Linked DNA regions of Callithrix jacchus. The protein of the gene in region 1 interacts with the protein of each later gene in a pairwise test. Links are inferred from orthologs where the notes say so. Each region holds a gene or a part of one and is shown on either strand. Other genes may lie near its edges.

Region 1 (4,380 bases):
GATGCTGTGCATGTGGGGGATGAGCCTGTCGATCCGCACTTCCAGAAGCATCACCAGGGCGCGGCACACATTCTTTCGCACCTCAGGGTCATCGTCCACAGCCAGGGCAAATAGGTGCTGCAGGGAGGAACAGGGTCAGCTGCAAGGGTCCTGGGTCCTTGCCCTGCCCACCCCCAGCCCAGCGGCCCACCTCGATGAAGGTGTCGATATTGTCCATCAGCGCCTGGGCCCGGTCCATGATGAACTGGTTCACACAGGCGATGGCATGGGACCTGGCGGGGAGCAGACACAGGGGTCACCCCTGACTCTGCCCACTCCAGGCTCCCTGGAAGCCCCCAGGAAGCTGTACCCACCGGATCTTGGGACTGCAGTGCTTAAAGAACTGTAGGAACTTGGGGATCATGATGTTGAGGGGCCTGTTGAGGGCATCGCTGTCCAGAAGCTCTGATGAGTCTTCGCAGATCTTCTGCAGGGCTCCAAAGGCTCCCTGAGTGCAGAGGGACAGAGAGACAGAGGTGGGTGGTGGTCCGGGCCCCCCATACCCGCTCTGGCCATCCATGGCTTCTCACCCACCTCACAGGTGTTGTAATCCTCTGAGTTGAGCAGGTTGCACAGCTGCGGCAGCAGCTCAGGCCACATCTGCAGCTCACCCTTGGAAGCGATGGTGGTGATGAGAATCCCTGCGGCGGCCGGGAAAGGACGCTGCCTGAGGCTGGGCGGGGGCTGCCCGGCACCTCCCTCTCCCACTGGGCACCCCCAGAGCTGCCTTTCTGTCCCCTAGCCCATGTATGCCCTATATATCCCTCTCTCATTTTTTTTTTTTAAGAGATTAAGAGTTTGCTCTGTTGCCCAGGCTAGAGTGCTGTGGCATAATCACAGTTCACAGCAGCCTCAAACTCCTGGCCTCAAACCATCTTCCCACCTCAGCCTCCTGAGTAGCTGGGACTGCAGGCACATACCACCATGCCCAACTAATTTTTTTTTTTTGACATGAAGCTTCACTCTGTCACCCAGGCTAGAGTGCAATGGCACAATCTTGGCTCAACACAACTTTCACCTCCGAGATTCAAGCAGTTCTCCTGCCTCAGCCTACTGAGTAGTTGGGACTACAGGCAAGTGCCACCACACCTGGCTCATTTTTTGTATTTTTAGTAGAGACAGAGTTTCATCACGTTAGCCAGGATGGTCTCAATCTCCTGATGTGGCCTAGGACTCCCAAAGTGCTAGGATTACAGGTGTGAGCCACTGCACCTGGATTTTTTTTGTTTTGTTTTATTTTGTTTGAGACGAGGTTTCGCTCCTGTTGCCCAGGCTAGAATGCAGTGGTGCGATCTCGGCGTACCACAACTGCCACCTCCAGGGTTCAAGCAATTCTGCTGCCTCAGCCTCCCAAGTAGCTGGGATTACAGGCATGTGCCAGCACACCCAGCTAACTTTTTTGTATTTTTTAGTAGAGACAGGGTTTCTCCATGTTGGTCAGGCTGGTCTTGAACTCCCAACCTCAGGTGATCCACCTGCCTCAGCTGCCCAAAGTGCTGGGATTACAGGTGTGAGGCACCACTCCCAAGTATCACCCGCCTAATTTTTTTTTGAGACAGAGTCTCACTCTGGAGTGCAGCGGCACGATCTCAGCTCACTGCAACCTCCACCTCCCCAGTTCAAGCAATTCTCCTGCCTCAGCCTCTTGAGTAGCTGGGACTACAGGCACTTGCCAGCACGCCTGGCTAATTTCTGTATTTTTAGCAGAGATGGGGTATCACCATCTTGGCCAGGATGGTCTCGATCTCTTGACCTTGTGATCCACCTGCCTCGGCCTCCCAAAGTGCTGGGATTACAGGCGTGAGCCACTGCAGCCGGCCAACCACCCGACCAATTTTTTAAAATTTTTGTAGAGATGGGATCTCGCTACGTTCTCCAGGATGGCCTAAAACTCCTGGCCTCGAGCAATTCTCCTGCCTCAGCCTCTAAAACCACTGGAATTACAGGCATTAGCGACTGCTCCTTCCCTTGACATAGGTAGAAAGGGTGCTCTTTGACTCAGTGAGCACCCTGAGCCTTACTGTGAGCCAACTCCGTTCCAGGTCCTGAGGCGCAGCCCAGAGCAAAACACAAAACCCCCACCCCTGGAAGTGGGAAGCAAGCCATGAAGTAAAAAATTAGCCAAAAAACTGGGAGAGGATGGGCACAGTGGCTCACACCTGTAATCCCAGAACTTTGGGAGCCCAGGTGGGTGGTCAGGAGTTCAAGACCAGCCTGGCCAACATGGCGAAACCCCATCTCTACTAGAAATACAAAAATTAGCCAGGTATGGTGGGGGACGCCAGTAATCCCAGCTATTCAAGAGGCTGAGGCAGGAGAATCGTTTAAAGTGAAGATCATGCCACTATACTCCAGCCTGAAATGGAGCAAGACCCTATGTCAAAAAAAAAAAAAAGAGGGCCGGGCGTGGTGGCTCATGCCTATAATCCCAGCACTACTAAAAATACAAAAAGTGAGCCAGGTGTGGTGGCACTTGCCTGTAGTCCCAACTACTCAGTAGGCTGAGGCAGGAGAACTGCTTGAATCTCGGAGATGAAAGTTGCGTTGAGCCAAGATTGTGCCACTGCACTCTAGCCTGGGTGACAGAGTGAAGCTTCATGTCAAAAAAAAAAAAAATTAGTTGGGCATGGTGGCATGTGCCTTCGGCTTTGGGAGGCCAAAGCGGGTGGATCATGAGGTCAAGAGATCGAGACCATCCTGGTCAACATGGTGAAACCCCATCTCTACTAAAAACACAAAAATTAGCTGGGCATGGTGGTGCACGCCTGTAGTCCCAGCTACTCAGGAGGCTGAGGTAGGAGAATTGCTTGAACCCAGAAGGCGGAGGTTGCGGTGAGCCGCGATTGTGCCATTGCACTCCAGTCTGGGTAACAAGAGTGAAACTCCGTCTCAAAAAAAAAAAAGAGAACTGAGAGGGGCCACATGCCAAGGACTAAGAGGGGTAACACAGCAGAAAAGATGGTGAGAAAGGACTGTAGGTGAAGGTAGCAACTTTAGATTGGGTGGCCAGAGCAGGCCTTGTTAAGGTGACATCTTGATATCTGAACCAAGACCTGAAGGAGGTGAAGGAGGTCTGGGAGGAATCATCCATGTTCCTGGGAAAGGGCATCTCAGGCAGGGGAATCTACGGTGCAAAGGCCTGGGGTGAGGACAGGCGTGGTGTGCTAAGAGACGAGTGAGGAGCCACTGGGGCTGGGCAGAGACTGGGCGGAGGGAAGAGGGAAAGGAGGTAAGGGCAAGAAAGTGGCAGGGACGGTTTGTACTGCCTATTAGCCATCCAGGAGTTACATACAGCAAGCATCTGAGGTGCCAGGGCAGGGCAGTGCACAAATCTGGTGACAGAAATGGATTCTGTGAAGTACAGAGAAGACATTTGCTGCCAGGAGATGGCAGTGTTTCCCAAAGGTGGAAACTAAATGGCAAAAAGGTGCTCCCTGCGGTGGGTAGGTACCCACTGAGGACTGTGTAACTTCAGCTCAGCCACATCACCTCATTATCTGTGCCTCAGTGCTTTCAGCCCTCAGAAGAGATCAAGAAAACCACCCTCCTAAGGTTAGCAGTAAGTTTCTTTCTTTTCTTTTCTTTTGCTTTTTTTTTTGAGACGAGTCTCACTCTGTTATCCAGGCCAGAGTGCAGTGGCACGATCTTGGCTCACCGCAACCTCCACCTCCGGCGTTCAGGTGATTCTCAAGCCTCAGCCTCCTGAGCAGCTGGGATTACAGGCGCACACCACGATGCCCAGTGAATTTTTGTACTTTTAGTAGAGATGGAGTTTTGCCATGTAGGCCAGGCTGGTCTCGAACTCCCGACTTCAGGTGATCCACCCACCTCAGCCTCCCAAGGGGCTGGGATTATAGACGTGAGCGCCCGGCCTGATTATCAGGAAGTTTCAATGACTTAGCCCAGTGCCTGGCACCTAGAATGAGCTCAGAAAGTCCAGATCCTTCTGGTGGCCAGGGAAGGGGTTTTTGCAGGAATAAAAGTCACTCTTTTTTTTTTTTTTGAGACGGAGTTTCACTCTTGTTACCCAGGCTGGAGTCCAATGGCACGATCTCGGCTCACCGCAACCTCCACCTCCTGGGTTCAGGCACTTCTCCTGCCTCAGCCTCCTGAGTAGCTGGGGTTACAGGCACGCACCACCATGCTCAGCTAATTTTTTTTTGTATTTTTAGTAGAGACGGGGTTTCACCATGTTGACCAGGATGGTCTCGATCTCTTGACCTCGTGATCCACCCACCTCGGCCTCCCAAAGTGCTGGGATTACAGGCGTGAGCCACCGCGCCCGGCCCGTCACTCTTTTTTTTGAGATGGAATCTCTGTCACCTAGGCTAGAGTGCAGTG
Region 2 (5,092 bases), on another chromosome or scaffold:
GTGACACATATTTGCTTTAAAATAGTTATTCATGCCATTGCTCATAGGACAGATACAATTTTAATAGCAATGCATCAAATAATAATTATATCTGTCCATTTATTTTTAAACTGTGCAGACCAAGAGGGATTCAGGAAGGAAATAATCTCAATATGTAATATGATACCTAAGTCTAAAATTCTGTTATAATTACATGATATATTTACATACAACATAACCTATAATCAACATCACAAATACAAAATTAACCAATATATGTGGTTGAAAATACCCACCCCTAGCAGAAAGCTTTTTGGTGTTGATAATTTTGGCAGCATATTCTTGTCCAGTAGGAATTTTCATACATCTTCTCACCACTGAGAATGCCCCCCTGGAAACCAATAATTAGCAGGTCATTAATATAACAGATATAATATTCCATTAAAAATGTATAAAATCTGAGCATTTTAATGTATTTTAGTGTGTTGTCAGTGAAGTACAGTGATATCCAGTAAATGAACAATTCTTCCTGGAAACCCATACTTTCTTTAATGTTGAAGAATAAAAGTAAATTTCATTTCACTGGGAGCACACATTATTAATCAACAAAATGAAAGGAACTGCCAATTATGACCGTTCTTGTTTGCACATGAAATCTGAAAATATTTTACAGTTCACACTCACAGCACCAAATGCTCTGAGAAAAACCCTGCCCAGAATAGAGCAGAGGAGGAGCCGCAAAAATATCTGCTGCCTACTTGTTTTGGTAGGAAACAAAAATTAATGTGGTTCCAAATAAGTCAACATGGCGATTATTTTCAGTAAAATATAAATCTTGAGCACATTAGTGTGGTTTAACGAGTCTTGGTATAGTGATTTCTCTATGCCTTGTTTTGCTCTGGGGGAAGGGAGATATTTGAATTAAGCTGCTCTTCCGACATATTCTCCATGTTTTAACAGCAGACAATATATACATATATAATTTTCATTACCTTTAAAAAATATTTACCTTTCCTTTAATTACAGTATAAACCAACAACATACATATAAACGCACTCCTTTTATAAAAGTAACAGTCGAAATTAGTGAAAGAGAAATTGGGTTTGGGTTCGACGCTACAAAAATCAGCATTCTCGGCTTGGCCCCTAGGTTCCTTTGCACAAGTCCTCAGTAGGGTCTCCTGTCTCCTTCCCTAACACCTCCAAATAGTTCTGCCAGTCAAGTGAAGGAGTGGCTTTACACAATGCTAGGCTACTCTTAAGAGCGCTCTCAGTCACCAGAGGGCTTTTCCGCTGCCTATATAAATAAATCCTAGAGAATGCAAAGATGCACACGCAATTCCTAGGAAGAATGATGGTGAGCGAGTAATCTGGTGCAAAGAATAACAGTGGCTATAGGGCAAGGGGCTGGTCCTGTTGGGTGGCCCTTTTCCTGGACAGAACAACTACTGGATGCGAAATAGACTCTATGCCAAGTAGAACTTTCGGCATCAATAAATATGGCACCGTCTGAGGCTGTGAGTTCTCATCAGTAGGTGGGTCATACAGCCCACACACCGGCTAACCAGGAGGCATCCCTATTTACAGAAAACATGATCTATGTTGCATTTTACATGGGTTCTAATTTCCTCTCCAAACACATATTACACACAGGCGCGCGCGCACACTTCTCAGGATGACAGCTACAACTGCAGAGATCGTAAATTCACCAAGTCTCTCAGTGCAGGAGGGTGGGGGAGCGGGAGAAGGTGGGCTAGGGACTATTAAAATGAGCCATAGTCAGGGTAAGGATCCTACCCCTTCTGTGCTCCCTCCCCTCACTAAGCACCTTCCCCAGAGCTGACAAACCAGGGGCCCTCCTCCCACTCCTCTCCCAAACTCCCTCGCCCCACAACGGAGGCCCGTGGGTCTGGGCAACGCGACCCGCCCTCAGCTGGAAAGGGGACGTGCAGATGCCGAGCAAAGGCGCTTACTTTCCAAGCTCCTCGAAAAGCTGATACTCGTCCGTGAACCTGGTGCAGGTTGTGGTCGAAGCCATCCTCGGTCCGGACTGTGCCCTGGCTGAGAGTGCGACGGGGGAGAAGAGAGCAGACACGCGGCTAACCCCGGGACTGGCCCCGCGGCGCTGTCACCCAGGGCCGCCCTTACTTTCCTAGTCCGAAAGTAGCTCGCCCGCGAGGGAGTGTGCGCAGGGGCGGGGCGGGAGGAGAGATGACCAGAAAGGGTGGCGTGGGGTCTCCTCCCCACGGTCCGCCGATCCTCCGCCTCCTCCTGCGGGCCTTCTCCACTGGACGGTCCACCAGCCCCTTTTCCTTCCAGTCCCTGTCCCCAAATGCAGGGGGTAAAGTACTCAAGAAGAGGGGGCCGGGATATGGAAAAACAGCCGGGCACGGGGCGAGTGGCGAGCGGTTGCGAAACGATCCGCACTGGGGCAGGAGGGGCAGAAGCGAGGGGAGGGAGTCCGAGGGGGCGGAGGGGGAGTGCAGCAGGGCCGAGGCCGTGGAGCCCGGAGCGGACAGCCGGAGCCCAGCGGCAGCTGTCAGCAAGCTCAGGCGCGGAGCGCGCCGGAGCTCGGGAGAGCGTGCGCGCCCAGGACCGGCTTCCCGTCAGTGGGCAGCAGCGGCTCCGGCGAAGCCAAGCACCTTGGCGGCCTCGCGCTGCTCACGAGCCCGCGCGGCTTCAAGACGGCGCGGCAAGAGAAACAGCGCTCGGCTCGGGCGAAGCCTCCTCTGCCGTCCCCAGGCCTCCGTCTCCTCCCCCGGCGCCTCCTCCCGCCGCTCCCTCCGCCTGCCAGCACCCCTCACAGGCGAAGCCCCCTCCTCGCTGGTACCACACCTCCCTCTAGCGACTCCAAGCCTGTCCCTTCGTGGATCTCTCGCTCTCCCTCCTTCGGTCGCACACACGAGCACACCCGTCTAGGGAGAAACCAGGTGGATGGAGGAGGATGTGCGGGGGAGAAGCCTGGAGGTTTGGGTGAATGAGGCGAGACGTCACAGTTGCCCATTTCAACCCGCTCCCAGAAGCCTCCTCAATCTGGGACTGACTGAGTATAAAGATGCGGGGCAACTCGAGCACGGCCCGAGGCCGCCGCCCAGGGTCATGGAAGCTCACGCCCCTGTTTTGGGCGCTAGGCAGCAGGGACTTCTCCAGGCCAGCTACCGGGCCACGACCCTCGGCGTGGCCGAGTAAGGGAGAGCAACGGCTTCTCCGCGCCGCTCAGTGTTGACACAGCGGGGACCGGATGTGGGCAGTACCTTGCTCTCAGAGAAGGTCCCAACCCTTCCCACAGCCTCCGGCGACTGTCGGGGCGCAACTCTGCCTCAGCAGCGTTCACTGCGTCGCCCGCTCCCCAGCGCCGGGCGCAGGTTTTCTCCCTCCCCCGCAGCCCCTTCTGCAAGGAGCAGTGACGGCCCTGAGCCACATTTCACTTAAGATTTGACTGCCACCTCCAGGCCCACCTCCCCCGCTGTTTTCCAGGATGGTGGCTGAGACCCTGGCAGTCCCCAAAGGTCTTTGCTTTGGGTGTGAACGTTAAAAGAACGAAAGCAAAAACTCCGCCACTCAACCACACCTTCTCTTCCCTTCCCTTCTGAGTAACTCCCCAGTAACCTCAGTAAGTTCTGATAGTAAGACGGGTTCTCGCGAGATTTCCCACTCTGGCTGACGGGGCGAGGTAGTAGGAAGGTTGGGTGTCGGTCACGCGACTCGGTGGGGGCTGACGTAATTCACATCACGTGAACATGTCTAGCCTGTTTCGCTTTGCAAAGGGAAAAGGAAAAGAAGAGGTTGTGTGTGCTTTGCTTTCGGCCAGATAGTGGCAATTGAGTGCACTCCGTAAATGGCTATCTGAAAAACCACTTAGCAGTTCAAGAATGTGTCCTTCCCTTTAGCATATCTGCCATTGTTTTAAGTAGGAGGGAAAAAAGTATGCATTACGTTTAAAGTAGATAAGTTATTGCCGATTGCTAGAACAACTTCTGGGCCCTCTCTCCAGTTCTCTTTAATAAAACTATGCAGTTACAAATTTAGATGCAGACCGAAAACAGCGTTATGGAAGATCTTTTTCAAATTATTGCCTTTTGTTCTATACCACGCAACTATAAAAACCTTGCAATCCTAATGCTAATTTGCTCGTCTTATTACTTCATGGACTTAAAATTTCACTGCTGAAAGATAAAAGATAACTTGCAGATACAAGAGAATCTAAGATTTAGAGGCGCTGTTGTGTACTCCCAGAGACTGCTCTTAATTAATGTTACTTTGTGGTCACAGATAATCCCAATTCCTTTATTTCCTGATCTGAGGGACACTTCTGCCAATGACTAAGCTTTTACTGAAGTACTAAAAATGTTCACAAATTTTAACGTTTATTACAACAAAATTGAAGTTCGTATGTGTTTTGATTTCCAGCCATAAAAGGGAAGCAACTGTAGTGCTATAGAAAACGATGATACCAAAACTGTGTAAAAGAAACCTGGTCTCTAAATATTAATAATTCGTCTATAAATTGGAAAGAAAAGAGCAATTTGGTCATGGCTAAAGATTTTTAATATCTGAACTGTTTACCAATTGGCTCCAAAATGATAATGAAATAATATTCCTTCTTGAATCTAAAAATGAAACAGAGAAAGTAAAATTGAAACAATAAATAAAGATAATAAAAAGTTTACATCAGGGAAGAAAATTGTTTCTTAAATATTCAAGTAATGATATCTACATAATTACAGTATTTATCTGTTATTTAAACTACCAATAATTGTAAATGGTTTTAATTGTGCAGTACAATAAAGAAAACATAACTGAATTTTAATACTGATATATTATTAGATAATAATGTACATTTTGTACAGCAAACATTGCTTAATCTGTAGTGCTCTTTCTTTGATTTATATTTTAGACTAATTAAAATATTTCTCTTATTTGAACAAATATTTAGTTATTTCTGAAGTTTGAACCTCCTTAAGACAGTAGTCAAATTGGCTGGGCACAGTGGCTCACGCCTATAATCCCAGCACTTTTGGAGGCCAAGGTGGGTGAGGGTGAATCATCTGTGGTCAGGGGTTCGAAACCATCCTGGCAAACATGGAGAAACCCCGTCTCTACTAAAAATACAA

Evidence for each region. The genes of interacting proteins can lie anywhere in the genome.
Region 2: the proteins of TNPO2 (region 1) and CAMK2D interact in binary tests that used the Homo sapiens proteins (3 or more experiments, as listed by UniProt). The two-hybrid records come from large-scale screens. The link is inferred for Callithrix jacchus from reciprocal best matches to the Homo sapiens genes TNPO2 and CAMK2D.

What each region holds. Positions count from the first base shown.
Region 1 is NC_133523.1:11,532,649-11,537,028, forward strand, and holds part of TNPO2 (transportin-2), read right to left. Parts: intron 681-4,380; coding exon 574-680; intron 488-573; coding exon 354-487; intron 273-353; coding exon 191-272; intron 118-190; coding exon 1-117. UniProt on the Homo sapiens protein: Probably functions in nuclear protein import as nuclear transport receptor. Serves as receptor for nuclear localization signals (NLS) in cargo substrates.
Region 2 is NC_133504.1:83,419,377-83,424,468, reverse strand, and holds the start of CAMK2D (calcium/calmodulin-dependent protein kinase type II subunit delta), read right to left. Parts: upstream 3,208-5,092; 5' UTR 2,983-3,207; coding exon 2,814-2,982; intron 2,682-2,813; exon of another isoform or gene 2,040-2,681; coding exon 1,952-2,039; intron 371-1,951; coding exon 276-370; intron 1-275. UniProt on the Homo sapiens protein: Calcium/calmodulin-dependent protein kinase involved in the regulation of Ca(2+) homeostatis and excitation-contraction coupling (ECC) in heart by targeting ion channels, transporters and accessory proteins involved in Ca(2+) influx into the myocyte, Ca(2+) release from the sarcoplasmic reticulum (SR), SR Ca(2+) uptake and Na(+) and K(+) channel transport.